Linked DNA regions of Caenorhabditis elegans. The protein of the gene in region 2 interacts with the protein of the main gene of each other region in a pairwise test. Each region holds a gene or a part of one and is shown on either strand. Other genes may lie near its edges. The genes, in order: T10C6.6 and cnk-1.

Region 1 (14,737 bases), on a different chromosome or scaffold from region 2:
CAAACATTGAGAGTTTTCCTTGAAATGGAATTTTTCAAAAATCACCTTGTGCTGAAATTGCATGGAGAACTAAGAACTATATACGAAAATGAGCTCCAGTTGCTTCCCAAGAAGAATGTTTTACATGGAATCGTCATTGACCTCAACTCCGTTAACTTCAAAGAGGAAAAGGTGAGAACTTTTTTGTTTGTTGAAGTTTTGGCAAAACTTTAATACAAGTTTTATTTGTAAAAGATAACTAGCCGTAAACGTCTAACTTGGCCATGTCCTGATTCACACAACAAAACAAAAATATATGTTTTTTTTTAAATTTTTCTTTAAAAACTGAACTTCTCGGCAAAAAATGAATGAGCACTTTTCCTTTTGGATTTATAATTCCGAAATCAACAAAATTTTGGATTACCGACTAATAGTAAAACCAAAAAAATAATAATACATTTTCTTTCAGATCTTCTCCCTACCTCACGTGTGCATCACGAAGTGTGACTGGATTACTAGTAGCGTAATTATGGACATGCGTATCACTGGGAATCTCACTCGGCTCACACTTATGAACATCAAGTTCAAAGAGGAAGACGTGACTAAGATAATCAATCACTGGAGAAACGGAAACTGGGATAACTTGAAATTCATCGAGATTTGGAACAAAGTTCAACTCAATTCGGACTTTCTTAAGGGGGGCCTAACGTTTATGACACGAGATACAGAAAGAAGAGATCAGTTCCACATGTCAGTTTTCGAAATTATTTCCTATTTTAATTATGCATACTATTAGGCTGGGCTTTGCCTTTAGGCTTCTGCGTAGGCTTAGGCTCAAGCTTGGGTTTAGGCTTAGACTTTGTCTTAGGCTTAGGCCTCGTCTTAAGCTTAGGCTTAGGTATATGCTTAGACTTGGGCTTGGGCTTATGCTTAGGCTTAGGCTCCCTCTTAGGCTCAAGCTCGGGTTTAGGCTTAGGCTTTGTCTTAGGCTTAAGCTTGGGTTTAGTCTTAGGCTTTGGCTTAGTCTTAAGCTTAGGTTTGGGTTTAGGTTTAGGCTCAAACTGAAGCTTAAGGTTTTGAATCGGCTCAGAAATTGTCATATCATATCATATCATATCAGCAATATTACACAAAATTTGGAAGACTACCCATCATCACAGAATGGATGACAAATGGAATCTTTGGGAGAACAATCGGGGAGAGACGAAACGCAAAATTCCATTCCTATAAATAGGGCTTCCATGGTAGGCAGGCGCGGCTTCAGGGTTTGACGCCTGCCTGAAACCTGCTCGCCTCACGCCGGCCTCTTTTTTTTGCATATTTAAAGTGTGAGCTTATAAATTTCTAATTTTTTAATTTCTATAGATTCGATGAAAACGAAAAAAGTTCACCTATACGGATTGAGGCGAGAGGCAGGTCGCCTCAAGGTCAGGCAGGCAGGCGTTTCAACGCCTACATGGAAGCCTCACTGCTGAATTCAGCAAAATTCAATTGTACATATATTGATGTGTCTTTGAATTTTGTAGAGATACGGTAGCCCCATAACAAATCGTATTAATTTCTAAATGATTTTCCAAATGAAAACGTCCAAAGTCCTCGCAAGTCTAGAATCGATAATTTCCATAAAAACAACATCTTCCTCAAAAATGAAAAGAAATGTTCGCGCGCACGCTCTCCTCTTCCCAGGAGAACACATTGACCATGCCCTCTCCACTCAACCTCCTCCTCCAATCGAATTTGTCATTCTTTTCTACTCACTCAGTCCAACTGCGCAATGAGTTGCTGTAACTTCAATATACCGCCGTCTCCTCCTCGAGTACCGGTGGTATCACCGGTATCGGCCGCTTTACCGAAGTTCCCCAAGCTTCTGCAGCTAGACGCCAAATCCTTTGCCAACGTTCTCAAAATACTCGGCCCTGCTAAAGTGTGAGTTATTTTTTTTCTTGTATAAGAAATTCAGAAAGGAAATAATTTATTTAATTTTACAGATTTCAATTGTCCCAGTTATCGGAGAGAATACGCACGTTGATCAAGGATGCACGTATCACATTTGACCACGTTGCGGTTTGTTTTTCGTCAGACCATGGCTCAATATCTTTCCGCAATAATTGGCAAATGTCCCGTACTCATTTTCTATTTCGTACCAAAACCTGAAAATTTTGCGGGAACGCGTCTCGATCCGCTAAAGTTTGGAGATCGAGAAATCCAGTTGATAAGGTGAGTCAGCTCTTTTTTAACTTTAAAAAATCCAAATTTTCAGCTTCACCAAAAAAACTCGATTCAATTTCATCACTGACAGCTTTGATGCTTGTGTGGAACCTTGTCTTCAGTATTTCTCCGAAATTTTCCAATGTCGCGCTGGACTTGCTCAAGTCAAGTTGGGTTCTCAGTGCAAACCTCCGAAACTAATCGATTTCGCTAAGTACAAAATTTTCAACGATCGCCTCACGCTGAAGCTGACTGGAAACTTAAGTCGGTCTCACACGAACATGAGGAACTTGCTTGACGATTACGAACTTTTGGATGGAATCATCATTAATCTCCCTATCGACACAACTAAGTTCGATCTGAATGAGGTAAGCTGTCTAAAGTCTAGTCAAAAACGTCTTAGACCGCAATAACTGTGTTGGAGGCATTTCAAACTAGGGCTTGAAAAAGGACCAATTTGGCGGGGCGCTGTGACAGCCTGAGCGTCGGCGGCTGCGCAGTTTGGTTTGCGCCGCCGCCGGCGTCGGTACAGAGAGGATTGTGTAGTTCCGCTGGCGGCGCACGCTGTGTATGTGGTCAGATTAAGTGTTAAAAAATGCCTGATATATGATATTTTAGTTTGTAAGTTCTGAACCTGTTTCGTATTATCAGGCGCCGCCGCCGGCTGAAGCGTATACAATTTGCGCCGGCGAATTTCAATCCCTATTTCAAACTCGATTATTCATTTTTCGCTCTTCCAGATGTTCACCCTCCGCAACGTTTGCCTCATGAATGCTAATTGGATGACTCGTGCGTTCCTTCAGAGCGTGAATTTCACTCGTCTCACGCTTACCTACACTAACCTCACCGCGCTTGATGTCAACGCGTTCATCCAGCAGTGGACACTTGGAAAATGCAGCAATCTGAAAAGACTCGAGATTCTAAACAATGTTGCATTCAATGCGGATAATCTTAAAATCAACCTGAATCTTCAGCCATGGGATCGGGGAAACAGAAATCAATATTATATGTCAGTTTTTAGAGATTTTTTTTATTTACGCCAACCGCCGTGTACTATTTCCCGAATTGCTTCTAGTTTTAGGTGAAAGTTATAAATATAATATATTATAGAAAAAACACTGTAAACGGTGGTCTGCGTAAATCGACACGAATAACCGCGCCGCAGACTTGCAGAATGACGTCTCAGGGATCAAAATTTCTTAAGCTCATATTTTCAGAATGGACAACCAATTCAAACCATATCTCCTGGATCTGGAAAACGGCAAGGACATAGAAGGTGACGGAAAACTCGCCACCCTGTTCCATTCGGGTAAAAAAATTTTGTTCGTTGTCTGGAACCGGCGGCATTTTGATCGACCAATGCTAAGGGAATCTGAATATTTTTTTGATCCTTTCCACTACTAAACTATGTGTCGTCTATTATTATTCTATTTCAAAAAATGAACTAATTCTCTGTATAATTTGGTTCATATCAACAACATTGCACAAAAAAAGGTGGAAGACTACCCATCATCACAGGAAGGAAATTGAAGAAGGCAAATAGAATCTTTGGGGTGGAACAATCAATGGGAATCCGTATATCAACATGTACATAAACTTGGAATTAAAACTGTGAGGGGTGGAAGTGTTAGCGAGAATTATGTAAATCAATAAAATTAAACAAAATTAAGTTATCAGTCCTCGTGATCACCGGCTTCGTCATTGAGAAGCGGAGATTCTTCTCCACTGCGGAGCTTTCGAAGCGATTTCAGATCGATGATGCAGCGCTTGAGGATGGCTAGGATGGCGAATCCGTTCTGAAAATTAATTTAATTATTTTATGGAAGAAGAAAAATCGTAGCATACCAATAGCATGAACACATAGAACACAGCCTTCCATCCCAGGTCGTCCTGGATGATCGGAATGAGAAGCTGTCCAACAGCGGATCCTGCCGATCCAGTGCCATCCAACAATCCCGACACCGTGGACATCGCCTGTGTGTTCCCAGCTAGAGCAGGTTGTGATCCTAGATCGATTGAGATGGACCCAACGATCAAGTTGTACGGCCCAGAGACTGTAACTCCGACGGTGGTCATGACGACCGCATTCCAGAACATGTGCGGCCCGACGTGAGCGTAAAAGTACAGCGAGCCAATGGAGCACACGAGCATCGCGACGATGAGCGGAGATCGTTTTCCCATCTTGTCAGTAATGTATCCGCCGAGCACACTTCCAATAATGCCTCCAAAATCGTACCAAATGCTCAACTGATCCGCCTGCGACTCTTCCCAGTGATAGGCATCGGTCAAGTAGAGTGGAAGCCAGAAAAAGAAGGCGTAGTTGACGAGTTTCAGGCAGGCATTGCAGATGCAGTAGGCGAGCACGCCTGGCAGAAGAACGGCCTTGAAGAGGGATATTGGCTCACCGTGGAAGTTGTGATGGGGCTCGGAGCTGGAATTAAATAGAATAAATAATGAAGTTTTAACGCTTAAAATGGCTGTGAGAACGGACTCTTTTACTCGTGTACTCCACGAGGAAAATAGAAAAATCACACTTCTCCTCGAGGAGTACACGGTCAGTGTGAGGATTTCAATTGAAATTTGAAATTTCAAACGATAGTTTCGAAATCAGAGAGAAGTTGGCGGGCTCATGCATTTACGATTTTGAAACGTAAAAAATCCACACACGCACAAAACAAAAGAAACAGAACAACGAACGTTCGCGAATTTTCCCACCTGCTAGATCGTCGGAGAAGGCGAATCCTAGGAAAAGGAAAAATTTTGGTTTTTTGAAAAAAAAATCGTGTGTTTCTGTTAGATTTTTGTGGACTTGGCACGATTTCGTATTGTTTTTTTTTTCAAATTGCAAGCTTTGGAAGTGAAAAGATAGTTGCGTCGATTTACGCAGATCGTGTATTCCCCGAGGACGAGCTTGCATTTTTTTAAAGTAGAAGTCTTCGGCGGCAAAAACGCTCGATTTTGGATCATTGCCGTTGAATAAGAAGCGGTGTAACAGTCAAATTATCAACTTTTTGGAGATTTTCAGGTGAAAAGCTGTGTATTTACTGATTAAAAAACTTTAAAATTACATATTATGTAGTTTTTAGCAGAAATAATTATATTTTTCAAGAAGAAAAAGCGAAAATGTTAAAATTCAAGCATTTTTTGCCAAAAATTGTGTTATTTTCTGTGGTAAAAATTTGCATGTTTCTCCTCGAGGACTACACGAGCTGCGTAAATCGACACTTGGAGGTCTACACAAAATATTAGGGTGTTTACGACAGTACGAAATCGTGGCAAGACCTATTTCTTCTCAACTCTTACCTATTTGCCTCTACGCCATCCTCATGCTCTTCATTAGGCGATGAATCAATAGCCATGACGACTACAATTGCTCCGAGAGCAATGAGCACCGAATTGAACACAAAAGTGTACTGATAACCTAGTGGAAGCACCATCGCCGTGAAAATCGATCCGAAAATGTTGCCGACGGGCTGACACGCGGCCCAGACACCCATCACAAATCCGCGATTTCCTTTTCCGAACCAGTTGGCCATAATCGCGATTTCACTGGGCCATCCGCAGGCCTGAACAAGCCCAAACGCCACGTAGGTCATGATATAGTAGGGCGCATGGTAGAAATTGAACCATTTTGGGATGGCGCCGAAGAGAGTGAGCTGAAAATTGAATTTTAAACGAATTAGGAATTTAGAAGCCTAGCAGTTTGTACTCACCGTAACCGCAGAGCCAACCATTCCAGCTGCGACGACAAGCTTCGGATTCAGCCGATCGCCGAGCCAACCCCAAAAGAAGAGAGCCGCCGCGTAGGCCGCCATGAAAATCGCGTCGAGTGATCCCAAAAAGTGCTTGGCGTCGGCTTCATTGGTGAATAGTGGCGCGTGGCCGGACGAGTTGCTCAGCCAATCCGCTTTTATCGACGATTTCACTCCGGATAATGCTTTGCGACTCGCGTGGTACAGGCCGTAACTGAAATATTAAAAATTAAGGAAATTTTGAGAATTTGAGTATTTTAACTGTGCATAATTACGTATTGAGCGTGTAAAACAAGAATGGTTGGTGTTTTACGAAAAAAGTTGTTTTTTCTTTGAAGGCGAATGGATTTATTCGGCTGGGTCTCGCCAGGAAAATGACAACAGTATTTAATCTCGTTTTTTTCAATTTTGCGGCGGTCGTTTTTCTTATTTATCTATGAAATATTTGCTTTTCTCAGCAATTAAATAAAAAAATCAATTACATTGCTTGAAACCTGTTAAAATTGATGAAAACGAATTAAGGAGACAACCGGCGCTGGAAAACGAAAAAATGGTACCATAAACGTTCTTCTCGTGGCGAGACCCATCCGAATAAGCCCCTGTGCCTTTAAGTGGTTACGATTTTATTTTTATTGACTTTCTAGGATTTTTTCGAAGTTTTTCATGTTAAAATGCAAATATTTTTGTGGAAAAATTGTATTTTTGATACGAAAATCATCCGGTTTACTTGAAAATTACTTTAGAAATGTGAAAATCTTACCTGACAAACGTCACCACGAACACCATCACCTTCCGTGACGACATCGTCTGTACCATTTTGAAAAAAACTTGATTAATATTAAAATTGAGACTGCTCCGTATATATTGATAAGGTTGATAACTACTATTGATAAGGAAAAAGGACAAAAGTACTTGAAAAGTCGATACGGCCTACGAGCTCTGAAAGGGTACACACTACAAAATATCACGTTTATTGTTTTGTCGAGCCAGTGGCATATAATTGAGTGAAAATTGATGGAAAACAGTGAAAAATGGATGAATCATTAGACAAAAATCAATTATTTAATGTATTTGTCCATGAATTTCTTGTGGAATTCCGATCTGATAGCATCGTTGATGAATGTGACCTCCTTCTTTCTCTCCTCGACTCCTTTTGCACAATTCTTGAAGACCACGTCATCATCCCATCGTCGTTTCACAGTGAAATCGCCTCCAGAAGTGGAGGATCCGGCTGGAGTATCGTTGAGCAGTGGATTTCCGGCTAGAATATTCTCCATTCTTTGCTTCTCCTCCTTCTCCTTAATTTCCTCGTCTCTCGCCGCCTTCTCTTCTGCTCGTTCTTTCTTGATCTTCTCCAGCTCCGCCATCAACGCTGCAGTGTCATCCTCATCGGAGTCATCGTCGTCTGACGAATTCAGCTCGTCCACTGCTTCATCTGCATCCACAGACGCCGCTGACTCGGCAGCAATTTGATCCATTCGTTGGCGTTTCGAATGGCTTGAAGACGAAGAAGCAGAGTCACGAGCACGCTTCTCACGGATTGCGTTTCGCTCCTTGTCTTCCAATTCACGACGGAGATCCTGAAAATTATTTTATATTGCTTGAAAATCATTGATTTTTCGTTTACCTTCTTTCTCAAATCGGCTTCAGTCTCCTGTCCGGTCTGTCTGTACTTCATTTTGGTGTGAGATGGCATATCCTTCGACGAGTATTGATTCGAGAGCTTCGACAGATCTCCTTCACCACGAGCGGTTCCTCCGCGAGCTGGGTGAAAAGTTGGACGATGGGCCGTGGTCATTTTGCTGAAAAAATTACAATTTGTGAACGTTATTTCGAGAGAACAGAGGAAATATAAGATACTTTGTGCGAAAAGTAATAAATATGGAACGAAAATAAAATTTATGTTTGTTTAACTTGTTTGAATTTGAAATTTAAACTTTTTTTCCGGATCGGAACAAGAAATTGCTCGGAAGTATACAATTTTTCAATTTGAACGTAAAATAATCGTTTTTCTATTGCAATTTTTCATACAAACATGTGCAAGTTTAGTAATTTACATGAAAAACCATTAAAAAAGTAGAAAAAAACATTATTCTTATTTAAATCTATCGGAATTCGAAATTAAACCTTTGTCCCGATCTTCAGTGCTTTTAGCCTCAAAATTAACAATTTTGACACAGATTCTTCAGTAAAAAGTTTGCATAAACGATGTTTCACTTTTCAATTAACGAAAAAACAAGTAGAAAATGATAGAAAACGACGAGAAACTTTAAAAACATCGGGAAAAATTTATAAATTGATTTTCGCCAAATGGCCTAGCGGCGTCACTTAGTCCGCGGCCACGCGGCCACCACCACATTTCGGCGCGAGTTTTGAATATGAGTTTTCGCCAATTTGGTTTCGGGTGGAAATCGAATTTTAAACACACTTTCAGGGAATTTTCAAAAGAGAAACAAATAAAAAACGTTTATCTAACAAATTTTTAATAAAAATTGATTATTTATGAAGTCCTACTCAACACAACTGTCAAATTCTGTGATGCTCCTTCTCGGCGAATCAAACGAATAATCCATCGGCGATATTCTGCATTGAAAAAACATATTACTATTCTGAAAACTGAAAAATTGATATTGCTCGTGAAATATAGCACTAACGGTGCTAGGCAATTAGTTAAAGAAGACGAGACCGTAGTTGTCATAAAAATTTTCCAATCCAGCCTGTTGCCAGGCAAAAACGAATAACCGGAAACATACCAAACACCAAAAAACACCATAACAATTCCCTGAATTATCACCTAAAACAAGGAATTTGAATTTATTTTGCAAGAGCTCGTTTACAGCGCACCTGCATCGCAAAATTGATATCGCGTTGTTTATTCTCTTTACTTTGCCCTTTAAATATCGATTTTCGACAAGTGATAAGAATGATAAACGTGGAAATATCCAGAATTGTGATAATAAAGATAATCACGAACTGAACAGATAGGCTTAACAGTAGAAGTTTTGCTCCACATGTCTGGAAATGCTCAATCAAAATCACGCTCGGGGTCCTGTCACGCTTCAGCTACCGTAACCAATTTTTTGCCGTGTCGAGACCATTTGCACCAAGTACTGTAGCCGAAAAGTTTCGCTCGTGGCAAGACCCCGAAATCTCACCTCATTCCGCTGAGCTTCCATGAAAACCCACCCAAATTGGAAAAACGGGAAGGAACAATTATAAAAGAAGAAAAAATACGAATAAATTACGGGGGGAAGTGTCCAATTTATGATGATGTAAGTGAGTACGTAATTTTTGCTGAAAAACGTAATCTCCTCAGGCGACCTACGCCTACCGTGAGCCTACCAAGCAGGCAGGTAGGCATCCTATAAACATACCTAAAGATTTTTCTGTATCCAAATGGCATACTTGAAGCACAAAACCTGTTGAAAGCCATCAGAAAGTGGGTGCCCAGCATAATTGGCAAAATTGTCAGGGATATATTTCCGAAAATTGCAGAATTACTGACAATTAATATTGTGTTTCTAGAATGTTTCAATACGGTTGGAGATTATTTAGTGCGCAAAAAAAGTATAAACTAACAAAAAAATTCCTACGAAAAAGAAGAAAAATGTGATGGAAGTTGCCGCAAACTGGGAAAATGTTTCATTTAAAATTAGGGCTCCAAATACGGTACCCTTCATGTTCTTGATATTATATGCGCCGGTGACAACGACAGATTGAACAGAGACTCCGATGAAGCCGACCTGAAAATTAGAAATTTGTTAACTTTCTGCCAAAATTTGAGAATTTTTAGTCGAAGTTTGGAAATTTTCTGAAAATCTTTGGAAGATACGTATCTGCAGAACTTTGACAATGTTCTGCCAAACGTTTAAAATTGTTGCCAAACCTTGAAAAATGTTTGCCAAATTTTGGAAATGTTCTATAGAACTTTGTCTATTTGTTGGCAAACTTAAGAAACTTTTGTCCAGACTTTGACTATTTTCTCAGTCAAACTTTAACAATTTCCGATAAAACTTTGGAAATTTTCAACCAAAGTTTGGACATTTCTGTCAAACTTTAAAATGTTTTATTTCAAGTATTGGCAATTTTCTGTTAAATTTTGGATAATCCCTTTAGAACTTTGACTACCTTCTGTTACTTCTTGCAAAATATCGTCCCAGGCTTTGGAAAAACTTAGACATTTTTTACCGAACTTCAAAAAATTTCTGCCCAGAATTGAATCTATAAAAGTGAGATTTTGAAATTCCTCGAAAGGTACGTGACGCCACTGACTACAAACTACGAATGCTACACATTAGTAGCATAAGCTCTTATCTCTTTATTCATTGTACTGATAATAACTACTTTCAATATACTTCCTAAAAAGATTGTTCTTTAGAAAATGCCAAAAAAAGTTGCTCACCAAACTAATAATCATTCCGGCTTTAGTGTCATCTGGCCCAAACACATAATCTTCGTCGGCTTCAGTGAAATATGAGTCGTTTCGAAATGTTGTTCTGAAACATTTAAAAGCTAAAGGTTCACATTTTCAAAGGAAAAAAGACACTGCTGGAAATATTGCCATCTGAAGAACATCAAAATCTATGAAGGAACTTCCAAACTTCAAACATGCAATATTGTTTTAACATTTCCAAAAAGCCCAACTTTTCTCAAAATTGGCAAATTACCAAAACTTTGATTGAATTTTTTTTTAATTTTCAAATGTTTTTGGAGTATTCAGTTTTCATATTCATTAATATTAGACTAAAAAACAAAATTATTAAAACTTGATCAACTTACACCATAATCCAGTTTCGTGACGCTTCGCCTTGAAATACTTCCGTTGACTACCCAAAAATTGATTTTTTAACATGATTTTTTTGTGCTGTCAAGCAGGTGTTTTTGAAGTTTCTCAAAATAATTATAGACTTCTGGCTACAGACTCCGCCCTTTTTGAATTATGAGACTGCAATCCCGACATTACAGCTGTCGCTAACAATTAGTAGGTGTTCAAAAAGTTTGAGCTCGGAGAGAAGAGTGGTTTGATCTTATGTATAGACAAGTTTTTTGTTTTATTGAATAAATTAGTTGGAATGCCAAAAAAAAATAATTGAAAAATTTATACAGGATCTTTCAGAAAGAAATACGAGCAAATTACGGGGGAAGTGTCCAATTTATAATGACGTTAGTGAGCGAATAATATTTAGATATAATCCATATGTTTTCAACACCTATAGGTGCAGAAAAAGGGTTCGAGAGAATGTACTATACGACAGTTTGGGGTTCAGTTGGAGTTATTAGAACAGGAAGATTATGTATTATGAGCGGAAACCACTGTCACGATTCTCTTCTGAGCTGTCGGGACGTTGAAATTACGGAAAAGCCATCTGCGAAACTCTTTGTTGAAGGCGAAGACGACTACACTGAAAATAAATTATGAGGACCAAACTGAAAACTTGGCACATTTTTTCGATTCTTGCTGAAGTTTTCTCCTCTTCGAGCTTGTACGCAGCTAAAATGCCACCTTCACATCTCTGTGGACGCACCAAGCCTTGAGGAAAACCTACGCCTATACTGCAGCCGGTAGATTTCCAGACAACGTAGGCGTAGGTTGCCTTCCAGACAAGTTTTTCCTCTAGATCGGAGTCTAACTCCCCTTATGACGTGGAAGAGCATTGAATCAAAAATGTGTGACTAAAAGAATCCAGGTGATTTTACATTAGACTGGGATGCTTATCAGAGTTGGAATAGTGCAATTCTCACCGCTGTTGAGGATTTTTACATAGATTTGAATTAAGGAAATTTAACAGTGGTGAATTTTACGTTCGAAAACGCCTTTTTGCATCTCCGAACGCTAGTGAAGCATAATTTTCAGCACTTACGGATCAAAAACATGTAGCAGATTGGATGAGAACGAAGTTGTAAAGAAGAACTTCCAGCGGTCGTCGTTTCCCGGGAGGATCGCGTGACCCATATCATACCATGCACCATGACACAGAAATACTGCACCTTGAATTATGACCTGGAAATTTTAGATTTTGAACTTGAAAGTTCCTGCGAATTTCCAACCTGTCCAGAAAAGCTCAGCTCACGTCTTCGCACCTCGACACTATGGCTCTGGTATACCTTGCTCTGAAAATTTATTCTTATTTTTCAAATTACTGCTAAATCTCACTCTAAAAGCCATCAAAGCAACCAAAGTGACTACATCCAGGCCGACAATTGTGATGCTTAGAACCGTCTGAATCGAGATCGAATAGAGGCTCAGCAGAGTCCCACACTTTACTGAAACGGAGCCAGCAAACAACCATCCGAAATGGTAGAATACGAAGTTGCATTCTCCTGGAAAAATAGGATGAAATGGAGTTGGGATTACATTTTTAGGTTCCACTTACGTACTACAACTAAATAGCTGCCTGCTACGAGCGATAGAAGCCAGTTGAAAACGATAAAAGTTCTGATCATGGAGCTTCTAAAAACCAAAAATTACTATTATTATTTCACAAATACCAAAAACTAACGAGAACAAATTCTGATATCTCAATGGGAAAAAGCAGGCGCAGAATCTATTAAACGACATTAGCAAGAAGCTAATCAAAATCACAGGGAGCAGGAAGATGCTGAAATTTCCGAAGAGGTAACTGATAGATAGCACGGGCTTGATGTTCAGGAGCACGCCTAATGTCGAGAAGCTTCCGCTATTGATACACGCCATCAGCTGAGCACAATTTTGATTGATCATGAGAATTCCGAACGGGGACTTGAGAGCTGCTATACGGAAGCATCCGATAATGACTGCCACGAGTAGGAAGAGGCCGGTGAGGCATTCCTGAAGAAAGGTGAACTTTCGATAGAAGTTTTGAAGATAGTTTTTTGGGCACGATTGGTCTCACTACGATGGGTCTCACCGAGATGAATCGGCACACTGATAATTGAGTCAGTTTTTGAGAAGCTGTACTTGAGGTGCCAAAAAATGTGACTCCTATCTTCAGCGAGGATCATTAATAATTTTGATAAAATCAATAATTATTCCTGTTTCTTGGTTTTTTGTGATTTTTTGTGAATTTCTTATCTTTTCTTATTATTGAAATACAAATTTTATTGACTTACCATTGAAACTACCATCCCTGCCAGCGCGTCATCACTTGAGTACACGAAGGTTTGATCGTAAATCGCCATCGCAGTCAGATTTCGGAGCACCATTGTCTAAACACTTTTGAGCTGAAGTTGAATACGACAAGGAGAGAAAAATCTGAAATGAAAAATAGATGAATGTGTACACATAGTCACTATTAGTAGTGGATTCCCATTGGGACCCGTTTGATGAAAGTACCAACCAGTGAGTCACGAGAAAGATCACGTTGGAACTGGTTTTCATAACATCACATAATGCTTTTGTTTCGATGGGGTAAGATCTAACGATTTTTCAAGTTAGGCAGGCACACGCTCATGTGCCTATCTTATGCCTGCCTCTGCCTAGGGAGCCATTTTTGTGCATTTTTGCATTTACTAATGTTTGCTGTTCGTACAGTTTTGATGTTCAAACTCTTGTATTTTGTAGTTTTTCGTCATACGCATCATTTTGACCGTAGGCTTAAAACTGGGTACCTGCCTGCCTACTTGTCTTCTGCCTGCAATTCCTACAAACAACTCTATACGTCAGGTTAAACTCCTACAATAATGCTTCAAAAATGAAATGTAAAACAAGCAAATACCCGAGTTAAGCTCCCACGGCAGAAAATAGGCGGCAGGCAGGCACAAAATAGGCACTCTAAAAACATGGAGACAAAGATGTTTAGAAGCCAATCTAGTCTTGAAATGTCTAGTATAGTGGAAGTGATTAACTGGAACTAAATATTGAAACGAAAAGTGAGTCTCATATTAGATTACAAAATGATCGAAAATACATCACGTTGTCAAAATAGCTATATCTCTCTGCGGCGGGTCATACTTTTATGCTCATTAGATGGTAAAATCGTATAGGTTTGTCTAGGCACAAAACGTGCCTAATTAGTCATAGACTAGTTGAAATTAATTACGAAAAATGTATTATCTGATCACCTCCCTAAGGTATTCTCAATTAGAGTGTGTGCCCACGTAAATCAAGCTCTTCACAACTGTACGAATTGAAAAATTGATAAAATGTACTTTTTTTTTAAGTAGAAATGTTTGGATACGAATCAAAAATCGTTTCAGGATGTGAACTTTGGGATTAACATCGCTAATGACCAAATGAGGGATCACAAATCACACATGATTTCAATTTAAAAATAACTTTTTTAAAGCTCCCAGTGATAAATATTAGCTTATTTTGTAGATCTCGTAGTAAGCCTGCTGTCAAAAATAGAACCAAAATTGCAATTATCAATGGAGCGCGACTCCTGGCACATTTAATTTCAAACTAATTAAGCCTTCAAATCTCAAAATTGAGTAGCAAAAATGAAAAAAAAAATGAACCAGGAAAACTTGTAGGGTAGATAGAACAAAAAAGCGTTCCTCTTGTTTTTTTTTCAAAAAGAACAGTTCTAATTTTACGTATAAGCCAGCAGTCTGCAATTAAACTTTTGAGCCCAGACCGTAGGTATGAGTTATGTTATTCGTAAATATATATTTTTTAGATTTTGGGTAAAATTTTATATCCAATTTTTTTCCAGTCGTGAATCATATTGAATTGAGCTGTGTTGCACTCACGGAAGGAGCTCCATAGTTGGTAGTCTTTGTAAAAAAAATCTGAAAACTGAAAAACTATCTTTTGAAGGGATGAGGATATAGGGTTACTGTGGTGGTATTGTATGATTACTGTAGTTGTAACAAAAACA
Region 2 (17,300 bases):
AATTGTTACTTTCTCGGGAAATTTGGTGCAAACACGCCCCTTTGCCAATTTATTGGGTCTCGACGCGAAACTTTACAAGAGAGCGCAATTGCATCAATTCTCAAAAATTGACAGATGAAATTAGATATTATGATTTTTAACCAATATTGAAGAGATCCGTAATATATTATACAAAAAATAATTTAATAAACTATTTTCCATTTGGCCGGCTGCTCACAGGTGGGCTCCGTATCCGGGCACAGACGGTTGAAAGTCGTCGAAATCGGGAATCCGATGATTTCTCGATCTTCTTGAATTCGGAATGTGAACGTCGACTCGTAGCTTCCGATGAAATACGCGGCGTGTGCGCAGAGGTACTGTAAGGAGTACTGTAGTAGAGGCGTTTTTTCCCAAAAAAATATTTTTGAAAGCTCCGCCTACAAAATGGTTGGGTCCCCCTTAAAAAAAGCTAGTCCCCCTTCATGTGGGTGGATCTTTTTTTTGATCTACAAAAATGGGTGGGCCCACAATATTGAAATCGCTTCTTTTTTGAAATTAATTTTTTTTGTAAATTCAGGAAATTCAAAAATGTATAATCTCAAAGCAGACTCCACTAAAGGGAAAGAGCCTATCTTACTCCGAAAACAAAGAGGACGAAAAAAAGTACCTGATCAATTATAGCAATTTGTCCATCATTAAGCTTCTGTGTGTCAGTAAATCTGTAAACTTCCAACTCTCCATTCAACAGAGCTTTGAGCTCATCGACTTCTTGATCCGGAGCATCTGTAGCTAGATAGATCTTTTGTAGATCAAGCTTCTTGCACAGATCTTGCAGAATCTTTGCGGTCCCAGGAATTGTTGGGAGCTGTGCACGCCGAGCATACAGGAAATCTCTTCGCCTCCAGTGAATTCCGAGATATGGTCCTCCGATTGCAGTTCTTCTTGGCTTTTCTTTAGTCCAGTCATCAACTAACTTGGTTTTGTCTCTTTTGTCGTCAGAGTCCAAGTACTTTTTTCTTAAATTTTTTGTTTTAATTTTAACTAATTTTTATTATGGTAGCCTAGAGCCTAGAAACCATATCGAAAGGTATTATAGAGATAAATTAATCTACTTAAAATTGGCAACAGATTGCAAAAAAAAAACAACTGTTTCTAGTTTCGTTCAGAATTAAGCTATGGCAGCCGACATTTCACGGGTTTTTTTGAGAACACGACTCGTGGTATGTCGGCTGCAATAGCTTGATGTTAAGCTAGAAAAATATGTGAAAAATGAAAACGTAGATAAACTTTAAATTTGATTGTTTTCAAGTTAACCACATTTTGACAACTTTATGTTGCTATAACTTTTTCTAAAGTACATATAAAAATTTTCTGTAGATCAATATGCCAGTTTAAAATTAAAGTTCCCACCTAAACGCGTCAGCAACATCCACAAGATCATTGGAATATCTCATACTCCTTCTCGCCTTCCAGTAATCAACTTCTCCATAATGTTCATGAAGGATTGTCTCTGCTCGATCTACCATAATCGACGTAGATTCAGAAAAATTCGAGTGCTTCAGAAGATCTTTCAGCGTTCCAGAGTCGCCTTGAATCGAAACACATTGGAAATTTCTAGAATACACGTCTTCGTAAGAGTAGAACCAGCCTTTCCTGTGAAATAAGGGACACGTTAAATTGAAGAGAAAAATTAATATAGAAAAACTAACCATTTGAACTCTTCCACCTGTTTATAATGTGATTCCGCTGGTGGAAGGCAGCTCCGTTTCTCGAATTTTCGAACATATTCAGTTCCCCAGCCCTCTGCATAATGTTGCAGGTAGATTACTTGATCGATCGGACGATTTTCTGTTTCTGAAAAAAATAATTTAAATTCTTCAATAGTCTTGGCGAGCCGTCTCTTTTTTTCCGGAGTTTAAAAAATATATGTATTGCAATTACGCTTCACGAATCCAGCCTCCGTAAATCGCCACATGGCAGAGGATTTTTAAAACTCTTCCACCTTGATAATACAAATCTTGGAAATCTAGGCCATCTCCGCACTCACCGTCAAGAAAATCCTCAAACTCAATAACCGGAATAAACCGATTCAAACTCTCCAAATCGAAAAAAAGACGCCACGAAAGCGCCACCTCCATTCGTTTCCAGTGATGAAGCCGTCCCCATGGAGGCAACACGAGAATATAATTTTCTCCAGAGTCTCGCAACGATCTTACTGTATTCGCAACCCGCATATATACATCTCTTCGTAAATTGAAACCCTCTCCGAAGTTTACATCGTAAAGTAGGAATTTCTTCTCGGCGGCAACCGAATACCGGTTCGAGTCCACCCGAGACACGGTCTGATCAGAATTTTCAGCAAATGCAATTTTTTCAGCAAAAAATAATACCAGTAATTGAATTGGAAAGAAATGCATCTGGAAAATCGAGAGATTTTGAGGAACTTAAAATTCTGAAATTTAGAATTCTTAGAGGGGCAACGTTCTGTAATGTGCTAAAAGATTACAAAATTAGCTTGAATATACGTCGATTGAATTATATATATATATGTATATGAGATTTTACTTTATAGTCAATGAATCTTTAGCGTTTCAGAATCTCCGATATCTAACATCCCTAGGAGCGAGAGGTCTCAATTTCAAAATTTTCAAAGAACAGTTAAAAAAAACAAATTTATATAAGAATTGTGGTTTTCGAGTAGAGAGTTATAGTTGAACACGAGAAAATCAAATTTCGCAGGGAATCTGGCTGTGCGATAGAGCGGAAATGCTAGGCTCGTGGCAGAACCCATCATGCGCCTTCAAACTGTTTTTCCCCAGATTTTCCAACAAAAAAAACGTTTTTTTTTCAGCAGAAAATTTACATTTGAAAGAAACGTTTGGAAAACTATTCAACAACAAAAAAATCGAGATATTTTCAGGAACTTGCCGATTCAGTGAGTATTCGGAAAAATGTGCAATTTTTGTGAGTGAGCGAGAATTTATTATATATACTTATATATATATTTTCAAGAAATAAAGTAGAAAAATCAATAAATGAGACAACGAGTATTCAAAGGGAGGATATGGGGCGATGGGCGGTGCTGAATAGATATTTCGGTTCGCGCAACGAGACTCTGATATTGATAGGTGGCCGTGGATAGAAAAAACTCGGCCACCAACTTTTTTTCCGGCCAAAAATTGTGGAATATCGGAGCATCGTTACGAAAACCGAAATTTCTGATTTTCTCGCTATAAAATGGGTTGCGGTGAAGTTTTGTGACAAGGATTTTTTTGTTTGTGTGGGACTAGAGTGTGAAACTGAAGAAATGAAAATCGAGATGTTCGGGACGAGGAGAGGATCATTTTGTGTGTGTGTGTGTGTGCGGGGTTTACAGTTTACAGGGGAAAATAGAAAATAACACGTGGCCGAGGAAAAAGCTCTTCCACCAAAAACACGTTGGTGGCCTAGGATGTGAATTTTTAGGCCACTAAAATTGAAAGTCTGAAAATTTACAGATGGGACATGAATATTCACAGGAGAAGGAGGGTGATGGAGGGAAAAATTAGAAAATTCGTAAATTATTTTTGCTTAAAACCGCCGCCGCCGAGACCTCCCGACTTTGAGGTCGTCATTCCATTTGTGGTTACACGTGGCAATGTGCTCAAGCCACTGCCCGTCTGTTGTCCGAGGAAGAAATTCTGGTCGGACAAGTCATTGTTGTAACTGGAGACCGCTGAAAATTCTGGAAGATTTGGAAGAAGTCATGCCCATATTTTGACTCTTGGTTTCAAAAACTTTTTAATCCCCCTACACATTTTTCGGTCGTGATCTACTTACACTGTGACATAATCCTTGGCTGCGTGCCAGCATTGGCAAAAATCTCTTTAGCCATCTTCATTTTTTGTGTCCAACTGAAAAATTGCATATTTTAAATCGTGACAAGACCCAAAGCTAGTGTCCCACCACGAAAGCCTACAGTAACCCTGAGGTTTTCGTGGCGAGACCCAGTCCAGTCATAATTATACTCAAATTGAAGCTCTCGGCAAGCTGAATATGAATATACTAATGAAAATGTCGAAATCTCCAAGTTTCAAATGAATTTGACGAAATAAAGCTCACTTCCTCCAGTCCAAAGCGGTGAAACATGAAAAATGATAGTCGAGCGGAGCAGCAGTGATGCGGAATATGCTGAAAATTACATTTTTAGGAAATATGTGTAGCTTTCACTAGTTTTCTATATCTGAATTAAATTATTGAGAGTTCCATGAGAGAAACTGAATTTGCGCGTCAAATATGGCGCATTGGGTCCGCGCGCCTTTTGCAATAAAAATACGGTACTCGGTCTCCCCACGCGAAATATCTCGTGGCGAAAACTACAGTAATTCTTTAAATGACTACTGTAGTTTCGATTTACGGGCTTGACTTTCGAAATGATATTTTCAAATTTCTTGCAAACTTTTAATATTTTTTCGATAAATAAATAATTTATTTTATTGAAATAAAATTAAAATTATGCAAGAAATGAGAAAATATCATTTCGAAAGTTAAGCCCGACACTACAGTAGTCTTTTAAATAATTACTGTAGTTTTCGTTACGAAATATTTTGCGCGTCAAATATGTTGCGCAATACGCAATCTCAGGATTTGTGCTATTTTAACACACGTGGTGTCAGAATGTCCCATGTCGGTTTGATCTACGTAGATCAACAAAAAAAACGGGAGTTTGAGACACCGACTTCTGAACTGATTTTGCTGACGTCACATTTTTTTGGGCGAAAAATTCCCGCATTTTTTGTAGATCAAACCGTGATTGGACAGCCTGACACCACGTATTAATAAAAATCTTAGAAAAAAACACATTTTTCGCGTTTTTTTTCGTACTTTTTCTTGGAAGTCTTCAAATCTGTCGAATCCGAAATAGTGGCCTTAATCAGATTGATAACCATTTCAGGCCGTTTCGTATTCTGATTTGTGTACAGCAAAAGATAATGTCCACGTAGACACATCCATATTTTCGGCCATTTATTCGTCAGCTCATTCGCATTCAGTTCCGCCCGTGTTTTCCGCCTCCGCACCCATCCTTCAAACAGTTTCTCCATTCCTGCGTAGGCGGCTGATATTGGTGAGCCCGGTAGATCGTCGGGGTTCGGTGACCACTCGGTTTGACTCGTCGACATTTGAAATTTCCCGAATGGCGCCGGACTGCTCACACTGTTCATTGATGACGTGGATGGGGATGGGAGTACGCCGAACGCTGATTCTTCCACTGATGACGTCATTCGGCTGGAATTTCAGGGTTTTTACTGTTTTTTGCTGTAAAAATGTAAAATTTCTTTATTTTTACCTAGAAACTGGCAATAATCTCGGCGAATCCAGACTAAATCCGGAAATATTCGAATCACCGACAGCTCGGAAACTTGGAGCCGCAAACTCTTGGTATGGAGCCTTCCAATCTTCGTCTGAAACTCGTGCTTCCGGTAAATTTAGAACTTTCAGTTCTTCTTTGTCGACTTCTTTAATTTGAGCAAACTCGTTGGGACCTGGAAATTAGAAATTTGGATATTGAGATCGTACTAATGGAAATATTCAATTTGAGTATAAACATGACTAGGTTTCACTATTTAGGGTCTCGTTCCGAATACCTTGGGGGTACTGTAGGCTAAACTAGCGAACTAAATTCAGAGCTGTCGATCTAATTTCTTTGAAATCTGAAAATAATCAAAATTTTTAAAAACGTGGTATTTCGCCACAATATACAAAAAATTCGGGGTCTCGACAAGAATTTTGAAGCGAAAAATTGTCGAGTTTCGGAAAAATCTCAAAAAAATTTTTTTTATTCATTTTAAGCTTTTCTATTTTCAGATTAGGGAAACTATTAATTTGGCCTAACTAGACTTCGAATACTGTAGGTCCCGTCACGAAAAACCTACAGTACCCCGAGATTTTCGTGGCGGGACCCAATTTTGCTTTGACTATAGTCGACTTAAGGCTTAATGATTCAAAAAATTAATTTAATTTTTTTTTTCAATTTTTTAAACGAATTTGATAGCGTTCCGTGTAAAAAACTGTTGATGATCGAAAAATTTTGTTAAATTTTGCCATTTTTCTTCTTTTTTTTTTAATTTCAAAATTTTTTAAATTCAAATTAGCAGAAAATTGTATGAATTCTTATGTATTTTTTTCTGGTCAAAACATTTTTTCATTTTTGTTTCAGATTTTGGCTGGCCATACTCAAATTGCAGTCCTTCCGTGCACAAATTTGATGCCAAAAAATGTATTTCTCTAAAAACTTACACTTGACATTAAAAGTCAACTGATCATTGACGACATCATCCTCAATATCAGTAACAAGCTTATTATCAATAAAGCTTCGAACATAACCATCCGGTTGATGACGCATTGTTCTTGTTCTTTTAGCAATTCTTGGAACTAATGCTTCTTCTTCTCCATCTACATTTCGAATAAATTCATGAACATCCCAATCATCTTCATCATCTCCGTCTAGAGCTCGTTCGTCTATATTTTTTCGTTCTTTTCTCGGACACGCAGAGGCTATGGAGGAACGGCGGATTAGGCGGCGACTTATTCGGCTGGAAATATTTTTTTTTTAATTTTTTCAGAATGAAAATATTGCTCTTCTAGAAAATTGATTTTATTTTGAAATTTCAAAAAAAAAAGAAAAAAAACATTAATTTTTTTTCAAATTTGGAGTGAAAAAAGGAAAATTCCGAAAATTCCCAATTTTAAACTTCAAAAATAAAATTTTAATTTAAAAAAAATTAGCAAATCCAATTTTTGTCTTTAAAAATTTTTTTTAATTTTTTTGTTCAAAATTTTGGAAATTTGTTGAAAAAAAATTCTCACATTTTTCTCTCATTTTCCTTAATAATTTCCGAAATCACATGACAACTTCGATGCCTTTTCAATGGTTCAGATTGTCCAAATGGATCATAATCATCTGTTGAATAGGTCTTCGCCGTCTGACTCGACGGAGCAAGAGCTCGAGCCGCCAGCTTCGATTGTTTCGGTAGTTGAGGCTCTCGGGGACGGCGTTTCACGATAAGTGAGAGCTCCAGGACATCCAGAGCTCCAACTTGTTGAACAACACTCGTCAAATCCCATCCAACAACAGTTCGTCCATTGATCATTAGAATTTCATCGCCTGCGTCGATTTTTGTACACGCGTCTGCTGGGGATCCTTCTTTGATTTCACTAATTACATGGACACCACGGTATGAGGATTGAATGTTGAGACCCTGCAAATTGAGATGGGATTGAGGACTCGATCGTTCCAGGTTTTTCCTCAAGAAAATTGAAAATACTGGAAAAAAATATTTTAACAAAATCAAAATTCTGAAAATAAAAATTAAAAAAAAAATTTAAAATTAATTCAGGTTTTCCAAGTTAAAAAATGTTTTTAATATGAAACAAATCGGAAAAATCAACTTATTTCTGCTTTCCGTGTTTGTTTTTCGAAAAAAAAATCGGAAAAATAATTATTTCGATTTATGCTCAACTTTCTGGTTTTTCCTCAAGAAAATGAGAAAATGTTGGAAAAATTCTTCGATCTCTTCGCGAGCGTGAATAAATAAATAAATTTCATTTTTGAATAATTGAAAAAATCAAAAAAAATTTTTTTTTGATGAATTCCAGGATTTTTCCATTTTTTTGTTGTAAAAAACCTACCCAATTAATATTATCAGATCTTCGGCGAAGTAGAGCAGATTCGATAAAACACGCGTACAGGATCAACGGATCATCACAGTCGACAATTTTCTGGCATTCATAGGCCAGCTCTTTTGACATCTGGAAATAAATTTTTTTGTAGTTTAATTTTATTTAAAAAATTTTTAATTCAAGAACGACTGAAAAAATTTCAATTTTTTTAAATTGTAATTCAGTTAACTATAATTTGTTAATTTTTTGCAATAATTTCTAACTTGTGATTTTCAAAAAAAAAACAGTTTTTTTCATATTTAAAGCCATCAGAATTAAAAAAATTACATTTTTTATAAAACATTTTGAGGAAAACAAAACGGATTTTTTTTTTGAGAAAAATTAAACTTTAAAAAATAATAATTCGCTTTTATTGTCTGGAAAATTGATTTTTAATTCAAAAAAAATTATATCGTATCCTGTAATTTTTTTTTCCAATAAAATAAATAATTAATTGTAGAAATTAATTTCTAATTACTTTAAAATGTTCTTAATTAGAAAATGGATGTTTTCTCAATTTTGAAAAAAAAATCCAATTTTTTTGCAGAAAAATCAATTTAAAAAATTTAAGAATCATAGATATTGTCTGAAGAATTAATTTTTTTAAATTACATTTTTCTGGCAAAAATCTGATTTTTTTTTAAATTGAAAAATTTTAAATCCGACATTTTCTGAAACTTTTGAAGCTGATTATTTTTCGATTTCAAGTTTTTTAATAAATATTTTTAATTATTTGAGAAATATTCATTGAAATCTTCAGAAACTGTCTGATTTGAAAAAAAACTTTTCAAATTTTTTTAAAATTCAAATTTTCAGTCAAAATATCCCATCGATAACCTAAAAATCCTCACCCTAACAATTTGACTTCCAGTCTCAAACAAAGCTTTCGGTTGTACATTAACATTTCTCAATAGGTTCCACATAAAAGAAGAAACACTATTTCTAACGTTAATAAATTCGGGTTCCTCGTCAAACGGAGTCCGATCAAGCCAAAAAACGAATCGTTTCGTGTGCTCGGCGAGCTGTAACACTGCATTTGACACACTATTCAGAATATTCACAATTTCCGATCGACGGATCGCTTTCTCCCGCATTCGCATCGCTGACGTCATCGTGCGTTCTACGTAGAGACACGAGGTTTTTACTTGTTGAGCCAGGCGTTGGAGATTCTCGTGTTCCGATTCGTGACACTGAAAATGAAAATAATTTTTAAAAATCAACAAAATTTCTGATAAAAAATCTTGAAAAATTAGACTTTCAGAGTTTTTTCTTGATGTTCAGGAGATTAGTACAAAGCAAGTTTTGAATTTTTCTGCGAAAAATCCAAAATTAGGCGGTAGGCAGGCAGGAATGCCTACTTTGGTTTTTTTTTCCAGAGTAGACAGAAAATCATTAAAACATCTTTGAAAAAATTGCGGAGAAGTTAGTAAAATTCAAAATCTCTTAAAAATCATTAAATTTTTAAAAAATCGACTGAAAATCCTAGAAAACTTATAATTTTTTACCATTTTTCATGATTTTTAGCAGCTTTTTCTGCACAAAATGTTTAGTTCCGATGGAAGTTTTTTCTCACTAAATAGTGGTTTTCTCCGAAAAGACACTTTTTTTCAAAAAAAAATCTTAAAAACTTCAAAAATTTGCGGAAAAGTTAGAATCTCTTCTGAACTTTGTGGAGCTTTACAGCTGATTTTTAGAATTGGTTGAAAATTCAGCAAAAACTGCTGAAAATTCTATTTCGAAAAAAATCCATTTTCCTGTTGAAAACTCCATCTTACAAAGTAGAGAAGCAACGAAACAGCCTGAAAAATCGTTTTCCTAGCTCCGAGAGCCGAAATGCCAATTTTTTTGAGCGAATCGTCGTCGAGAGCCTCCAATTGTTTTCCGCTTTTTATATTGTCACGAATCATGCCCAAATATGGATTCATTTGATCGCCAAGTCCTGGAAATTATTAATTTTTCAGTGAATATTTTTTTCCGCGGCGATAAAAACCTTCAATCCATCTTGCAATTTCTTTTCCTTTCCACTGCTCAACACATCGGGCAAACGAGAGTTGGGGCTCGTAGCTGGCGGAGAGCATCGGACTTCCCGAACGGAGACCGGATGACACTGAAATTTAAATTTAAATATTTTAATGAAGAAATCTGTTTTTTTTTCAGTTTTTGTGGATTTTTAAATCAGAAACCGTCCAATTTCGCTGGAAATAGCTTCATTTTCGTTTAAATATGTAAGGTTTTCTGGAAATATCGCCAATTTAATTGAAGAATCAATAATTTTTGTGGATTTTCCCAATTAAAAGTTTCGCAAAAATCAATTTTTTACCTGTTTCTGGTGAATTATGTTTTAAGCTAAGGTGCCGGGTTAGTGAGGACATTAAAGTCCTTGAAAAACAATTTTTCGAACAAATTAGTTTCTTCCCCGGCTACAGTATCCACGGTTACTGTAGCCGAGAAACTGTGCCCACCTGAACTAATCCCAGAGGAGATTCCCAACGCCTGTTTGGCTTCAAGTGGTGTCGACGGAAATCCCATTGTGGTTGAGAACATATTCAAAAATTCGGAACAATCACAACATTATGCTAGTTTGGCTGCAGCTGTAAGAATCCAGAATTTCCCAAATTAATTGTAAAAATTGAGGAAAAAGTGCAGAAGGTTGCATAAAATCAACAATTTCTTTTTTTAACTGAAAACAAACACTAAAATTGATTGATTTTTCGCGAAAAAGTTATGAAAATAAATGAAAAATCAAGTACAGTACTAATTAAAAACAAAAATTCCAAGAAAAAAGGAGCATTGCTCAATTTATCGAGCGGGTCCTATGGAGAACTCGGCGTACTCCTCTCGGAGGAGACGTGGCCTAGAATTCTCCTCGTCCCTGTCGATTTACGATGTGACACGGCCTCCACCACGAGAAATGCGCAGAGAGAGCGCAGAGAAAAAGGCGGTCTCTGCGTCTCTCACCTCCACAACATGGCGAGAGTGCGCGCTCAACCACCTCACTTAGAACGAGTCGGGAAGAAAGGAAATTGCATATTTCTGAAAAGAAACAATTGGAACGGATAAAGAGTACTGTCCTCTACAGTCTGGCATAAATTTCACAGAATAGTTTTGTCATTGAAATAAGTGAAGAGAGTGAACATAATATTACACATTCCCCTCTAAAACGAGCAAGTTTAAGATTTTTTCCCAAATTTTTTTTGTAAAATGTATTCAATATATTCCCAATTAATGAGTTAATACAAAAAAACCCCAATAAATAAGTTATGAGAGAAACTTTTTTTGACATCAAACATTTACAGCTCAAAATTTCAGCACTTTCCGGAAGATAGTGACCGTAAAATGAAAGATTTCAAAAATCGGAAACAATACGATTGTTCTAATTTTTAATACGCACATTTTAACATATCACACATAAAAATCCGTCAATGTTGAAAGATGTTATTTGATCTAGAAGGTTGACTACAGTACTAAAATGACCAAATTTTCAGGAAATAGTTGGCTTGGACTCAAAAATCGGAAACAATACGATTGTTCTAATTTTTAATACGCACATTTTGACATATCACACATAAAAATCCGTCAATGTTGAAAGATGTTATTTGATGTAGAAGGTTGGGTGCTTTGATACAGTAGTACCCACTCTACTGCGCCCTCACACTTTGGATGCTCCTATCTCCGCTCCTATGAAAGTTACAAAAAAGTTGTCAACTAACAAAATGTTCAGTGTGACATTGTGAACATTTTTTCTGTTGACAATATTTTTCTAACTAGTAAGACAAATTTTTTACAGGCCCCGAAAGCCGTATTTATGAGAAAATCAGAGATCAGTTCATAACTCAAAAAATAAAGACATTAGAAGAAAGTAGTCAACTACAAATTTGTTAGATATCTTATATAGAGTATGTTTCCGATAAAAAACTCAATTTTAATGTTCAGGATTTTTTGACATGGCCAGTTTAAGATGATCAATTTTCAAAAGTCAAAATCTATTATTTTTGTAGATAGAAATGTAGTTTTTGCTGGTAAATGTTGTTTTTTATCTGCTTAACATTTTCTCAGTTGAACATATTTTTGTATCTTCAGCGAGAACAGAGATTTGATGGTTTTAAGAGAGGGTACTGTAACTGGGACTTCATTCATCAAATCATAGCTATATCTTTTTAGTGGAACGAGATATCAAAAAATTGTCAACTAAAGAAATGTTCACCTATTTGTGATGTTCATTTTGTCAGTTCACCGCTAGTTTCTATCTCCAACGCGAAAAAAGTTGTAGTTCAAAGTCCATAAAGTACATACACTTCACCACGAGAAGAGCGAGAATCAGCCCGAAGCCACAGTCGTACATATTTTCTTTATTTAAGCCGTTCAAATACACTCATCGTACCATATTTAATAATTTTCAATCTAAAAAAGTGCTCTTCTGTCCAGAATTTTTCTAATTCCATCTAATTCTTGCTAAAAACCACTGAAAAACAGCTCGTATTAACTATTTTTGTAATTTCCGATTTTCCACGTTATTAATTTTCACTATTTCTGTGAAAAAAAATCTGCCTTCCCTTCTACATTAAATCCCAATGTTGCAAGGTTGTCCATTTTTGTCGAAAAAATAAAAGTAGGGCAACTTTTCGACACATGATGTCCAAAAAACATGTAATGGTACTTTGAGAGTTTATAGCTCAGCGGGGAGTGGCCCGAAAATTTTGATTTTTGTTTCTCCCCCTTTCAAAAATCTGTCCCAGTATGGTCATCAAAACGGGGTTGCACAATTTTGCTCCGGGAGCCCACGGGAGTCGGAAAACTGAAGCTACTTCATTTTGGTGGATGTGTTAGTACTGGCAAAAAACCACTTTTAATTGATGCAAAATTCGAGTTTTTCTTGGATCTTTTCAAAACTTGACACATAGTTAGGCCTGACGGAGCCCGATTTTTTGAGCCATAATTCAAAATATTTGACCTACTTTCGAAAATGTAGGCCATCATTAAAGTTTTCGAAAAACTAAAAAGATGAACATTTATTTAATCGACGTGAAAAACTGCCTTGCCTCTCTCTCTCTCTCTTGGTTCGCTCATTGATGTGAGTTGGATTATTTTCATTTCTTAAACATTTTTATTTAATTTTTTTATACAAAAAATTTTTTTTTCCAAAATTACCCATGTTTTCCAAATCAGGCCACATCTTGCGCTCTTTGAGCTGCCTCAAGCTGTTTATAATTAGAAGTTGTTGACTTTTTTCACAAATTTTCCAGTTTCAGATCATGCATATCGGCTTGAGGGCCGCAGGGGAAAACACATAGAAAAGACTCAGAAATTATATTATCTTCAAATGATCGTAACTCAGTCAATTTTAGTCCAAAATGTTCCAAATTTTTCCCAGTTTACCAACTTAACCTACTGCGAAGCCTAGCGCACTGCGTGCGCTAGTCTGCCTCTTCCTATATTAAATCCGGAAATTGCATTCTTGACAGAAATAAAAAAATAAGGGCAACTTTTCGACACGTGAGTGTCCGACAAAAATGTACAAACTTTGAGCTTTAATAACTTGGCTCATAGCTGGCGCTTTTGCATTCACTAAGTGCGAATGACTCAAGAATAGTTGCCCCACCATGGTCATTATTGAGGGGATTGGTTTTGGGAAGGGTAGAACACTGATTTGCGCGGGTTTCTGGAGACCGCGAAATTTGAATATTTTCTTTGTACTGAAGAGCTTTATGTTTTTCAGTCCCAAACGTGCAGTTTTTGTGTCAGTTGATTCCAATTTGTGCGCAAGAGAGAACTTTGTATTACCAATTTTTGAAACTATTTTAAAAAAAAATTGGTCCATTTTCCAAAATGTAGGCCATCATTCAAATTTAGCAAAATTAAAAAGATGGATTAAACGTGAAAAACTTTTCTATCACTCTCTCTCTCTCTCTATTTTTGTGGATGAATTCGATAATTTTCATTTCTTATTTTTATAACGTGAGGAGAATTTAATTTTAAAGATTTTTTGAGATTTTTACTTTTTCTCTAATCCTATGGAGGACCGCACTTCTCGGACATTTTGGTCACTTTAAACCTCACTTCCAGCAGGGCAGGCTGGAGGGCTGCAATGCTATTGTTTTTCACTCAAACCCAAAAAATCCTTCTTACTCTTAGAAATTTTAGACCTTTTCTATCCCTACTCCCAGCAGAGCAGGCTGGAGGCCTTCTATGAGACGTATGTTTCCATAACTACGTCTGTTTTTGGAAAGGTCAGGTAATCCGGATTGAGGGCCGCAGGCCCGAATACACAAAAGTATTGGACAGCCATCAAGCCTATTCTGAGCCCAATAAACCCGAGTTGAGGGCCGCATGCCCGAATACACGAAGAAGTGTTGGAGATCCGTCAAGCCTATTTTTAGCTAAATAATTCAGGTTCAAGGCCACAGGCCCGAATACACATAGAAGCGTTGGACAACTGTTAAGCCTATTTTGGGCCCAATAATTCACAATGCGGGCCGCAGGCCCGAATACATGTAGAAACAGTGGGGAACCGTTAAGTGCGATTTGAAAAGTGAAGATTTTTATTTATAAAATTATTATTAAACTAAATTTGGCCGGTCTTGACAAACTTCTGCACATTTACTTGACATTTACTCAACACTTGGCTAAATATTAATAAAGCGAATTTTTCTTGAGTTACTCTACGCCGAACCAAACTGCGAAGCCTAGCAAATCTCCGATTTGCTAGTCGAAATTTCGTTCAAAAATAGCGATTCTGGCTCAATTTCATGAATATCTGCTGAAAGCGGCGGCGAGGCAAGGTGGCCGTCCGCAAACGCGCAAACAAAAAGCGAGAGAGTGTGCGCATTTCTCGTGGTGGAGGCCGTGATTTGTATTTCGTGATTTTTCGTGATTTTTTCTGATTTTTCTAATTTTTCTGCTTCAAAGTTGCTGAATTTTTAAATTTTTCATTCAAAATTAATTTTTTCTTTCAAAATTATCGATTTTTCAGGGCAAAAAATGGACGAAGACAACGCAAACGAGATATTCAAAGCGTTCAACAAACAAAATATCGAGTACGATCTATCGGGTACCGCCACCGTTTGTTATAAATCAAAAACCTATTCAGCGAAGGTAAATGTCAATTCTCATAAATCAACGTCGCTTTTTTCTCAGATCCTTCTCCATGGCAACGTGTTGTGCGTCGAAGAGTCCGGTGGAGCTGTCACTTCTGCCTGTGTTCCACTTATATTCCTGCTAGAGCGAGTTGTTTTGAAGAAACTCGAGGAGAATGTACGATTTGTTTGTTGGGTGGCAGAGGAGACTTTTTATCAGAAAATTTCTTGAATTTTCCTGTTTTTCTTTTAAAAAAAACTATTTTTAACGACTTTTGGAGCAAATTCTCTGCAATTCCTCAATTTAAATCACAATTTTTGCAGTCAGATACCGCAAAATTCACATTTCTTCTCACATTCACGGATCCGGCAGAGAATTTGGAAATATCTGTGGAAAGTGAAGAATTACGAGAGCAGTGGATGATAAAGGTAGGCTTAGGCTTAAGCTTAGGCTTTAAAAAAATGTTGTTTGAAATTTGAAAAAAAGCCAGAAAGCTATGTATTTTCTTACCATTTTTTCTAGATTTTTCTGAAAAAAAATCGAAAATTCTGCGATGACGTCTCGAATTGCAGTTTTTCATTTAAAAAAATCTGAATTCTCGAATTTTCAATTAAAAAAATTTCCAAAAAATCATAAAACTTCCAGCTCGCCACGTGCTCACACCAAATGGCCCGCGCCGAGCTCGACGAGCTTGCCTACAAATTCTACACAATGTCACCGTCGGCAAGCAGTGGCGGCGATTCGGACGGAGTAATCGACCCGAAAACCTCTGCTTTTCAGAATTTCTACCTCTCGGCGCCACTCAGAATTGCTCATAATTTTGCAATCTCCCAACAGAATAACTTACCTGCACGGCGGGTTATTGTAGAGGAATGCATGTGGGAAACCAAGTTATCAATCATTTTACCCAAGGAAATTATCAAATTGAATAGGAAAAAGATTTCAGAGTATGTGAAATTGTAGATTTTGGTATTAAAATGGGAATTTCAACTGAAAAATTAACTTTTCTACACAGAAAATCTACCAAAATATGCAAAAAAAAACAATTTTCAAAATTTTAAGACATTTTTCTACTGTTTTTATTTCTTTCAAATTAAATAAAATCACAGAAATTAAAAATTTAATTATTGGTATCAAAAAACGAAAAATAAACTTTTTTTTTCAGATTTTCCGGATTATTGGAAAGTCGGCTGAAAACGTGGCCTCAATCTTCGATACCAGGACTACATGAAGTAATACGACAGCTACGTGGAATGTCAGAGACCTATGAGCAATGTTTTGAATTTGTTGACGCGTATTCTGTAAGGATCCACGCAACAAAAATGCCAAAAAAAATATTAGAAAAAATCCAGAAAAATCTTTAAAAAAAAGGAATTTTTTACAATAAAAAACATCAAAAAAGTTGAATTTTACGATTTTTGGTAAGAAAAAAAAACGAAAAACTAACATTTTAGACTTATTTGTAATTTTTTCAATTTTTTTTACAGTTTTCAGTTCTTTTTTTTTAAGCTGAAAAAATGTTTTTAAACTGGTTCTCAGTTTTTTACAAAAAAAATTTTTTAATGATTTTTTTTCCAATTTTTTGATTCTATTTCAGAAGAATAGTCGGGAGACCTAGATTTTTGACTAATTTCTAATTTGTTTTCCAATATCAAAAAATTTAGAAAAATACTAAAATCCAAAATAAAACGCTTTTAAAAAATTTGGTGTTTTTTTTTCAAAAAATTAAATCGCAATTAAAACAAATTATTTGCCAATAATTTCAGGGTCCAAATTTCCGGAAATCAGTAGAAAAGACGCGGGTAGCGTTTGGTCTCGTGCCCACCAATCTACATATTCATTCCTACGAGATTAATTCCAGTGATAAACGGGATTTTATCACTGCTGGCTCAGCTTCTGCAATTCCTTATCGTTATCATGTGAGTTTTTTTTAACGGTAAAAATTATGCAATATTTTATTAAAATAAAAAAAAAATTTATTAGAATAAACCCATTTTCAGAACGGCGGAATTCTGAAACTCTATTCGCAACTCGACGTTCCATCCTACAATTTTGACTATACATTCTGGAAGAAACGACAAGCACTGCTTGATCTCAAAAAAACGATAGGAGAACTAAGTCATAAAATTGAAAAAGAGTGGAAAATCGCGAAATTCGGAAGTCCCGACAAGATATGTCTACAGGTTCACGCAGGAATTAAGCAAGTGTACGAAGGCCTGAAAGATGTGCTCATAAGTCTTCCAGACGTTGAACGGTGCTCTGAGCTTCTGCTGGAAGAGGAGAAGCGGAGGGAAGAGTCTGGAGCCAAGGTAGATAAGATTTTTAAGAATTTTGGAGTTTTTTTCGGAAATTTCTCAAAGAAAAACTTTGAAATTCAGATAAAAATTTAAAAAAAAAACGGTTTCTGTTTTAAAATTAAAATTGGAATAAAAATTCAGAAATGCACAAATTTTTGTTGAAACAAACATGACGCATCGATATAAACTATACCCTTTTTTAGTATTTCGAAGAAAAAAAAATCAAAAAACTAAGCTTTTATACTGAAAACT

Evidence for each region.
Region 1: the proteins of cnk-1 (region 2) and T10C6.6 interact in a two-hybrid assay, tested with the Caenorhabditis elegans proteins (one large-scale study listed by BioGRID).

Annotation. Positions count from the first base shown.
Region 1 is NC_003283.11:16,016,355-16,031,091, reverse strand, and holds T10C6.6 (Major facilitator superfamily (MFS) profile domain-containing protein), read right to left. Parts: upstream 6,756-14,737; coding exon 6,700-6,755; intron 6,154-6,699; coding exon 5,901-6,153; intron 5,844-5,900; coding exon 5,491-5,843; intron 4,930-5,490; coding exon 4,903-4,929; intron 4,619-4,902; coding exon 4,033-4,618; intron 3,984-4,032; coding exon 3,861-3,983; downstream 1-3,860. Other genes in the region: T10C6.7 (F-box domain-containing protein), read left to right, coding at 1-171, 449-729, 1,742-1,757; cwc-15 (Spliceosome-associated protein CWC15 homolog), read right to left, coding at 6,998-7,519, 7,567-7,737; srx-44 (7TM GPCR serpentine receptor class x (Srx) domain-containing protein), read right to left, coding at 8,440-8,548, 8,594-8,733, 8,784-8,954, 9,095-9,233, 9,314-9,460, 9,519-9,682, 10,342-10,435, 10,719-10,723; srx-43 (Serpentine receptor class X-43), read right to left, coding at 11,230-11,341, 11,801-11,940, 11,988-12,050, 12,094-12,260, 12,314-12,390, 12,440-12,747, 13,029-13,121.
Region 2 is NC_003281.10:10,264,225-10,281,524, reverse strand, and holds cnk-1 (Connector enhancer of kinase suppressor of ras), read right to left. Parts: upstream 10,269-17,300; 5' UTR 10,222-10,268; coding exon 10,140-10,221; intron 10,093-10,139; exon of another isoform or gene 10,050-10,092; coding exon of another isoform or gene 9,998-10,049; intron 9,785-9,997; coding exon 9,668-9,784; intron 9,617-9,667; coding exon 9,453-9,616; intron 8,868-9,452; coding exon 8,529-8,867; intron 7,768-8,528; coding exon 7,648-7,767; intron 7,218-7,647; coding exon 6,826-7,217; intron 6,552-6,825; coding exon 6,256-6,551; intron 5,502-6,255; coding exon 5,306-5,501; intron 5,245-5,305; coding exon 4,843-5,244; intron 4,150-4,842; coding exon 4,081-4,149; intron 3,873-4,080; coding exon 3,799-3,872; intron 3,695-3,798; coding exon 3,540-3,694; 3' UTR 2,945-3,539; downstream 1-2,944. Other genes in the region: pad-2 (GDP-fucose protein O-fucosyltransferase 2), read right to left, coding at 183-356, 647-995, 1,390-1,632, 1,689-1,833, 2,027-2,396; inpp-4B (PH domain-containing protein), read left to right, coding at 14,656-14,769, 14,812-14,928, 15,075-15,179, 15,397-15,698, 15,917-16,052, 16,518-16,670, 16,752-17,060.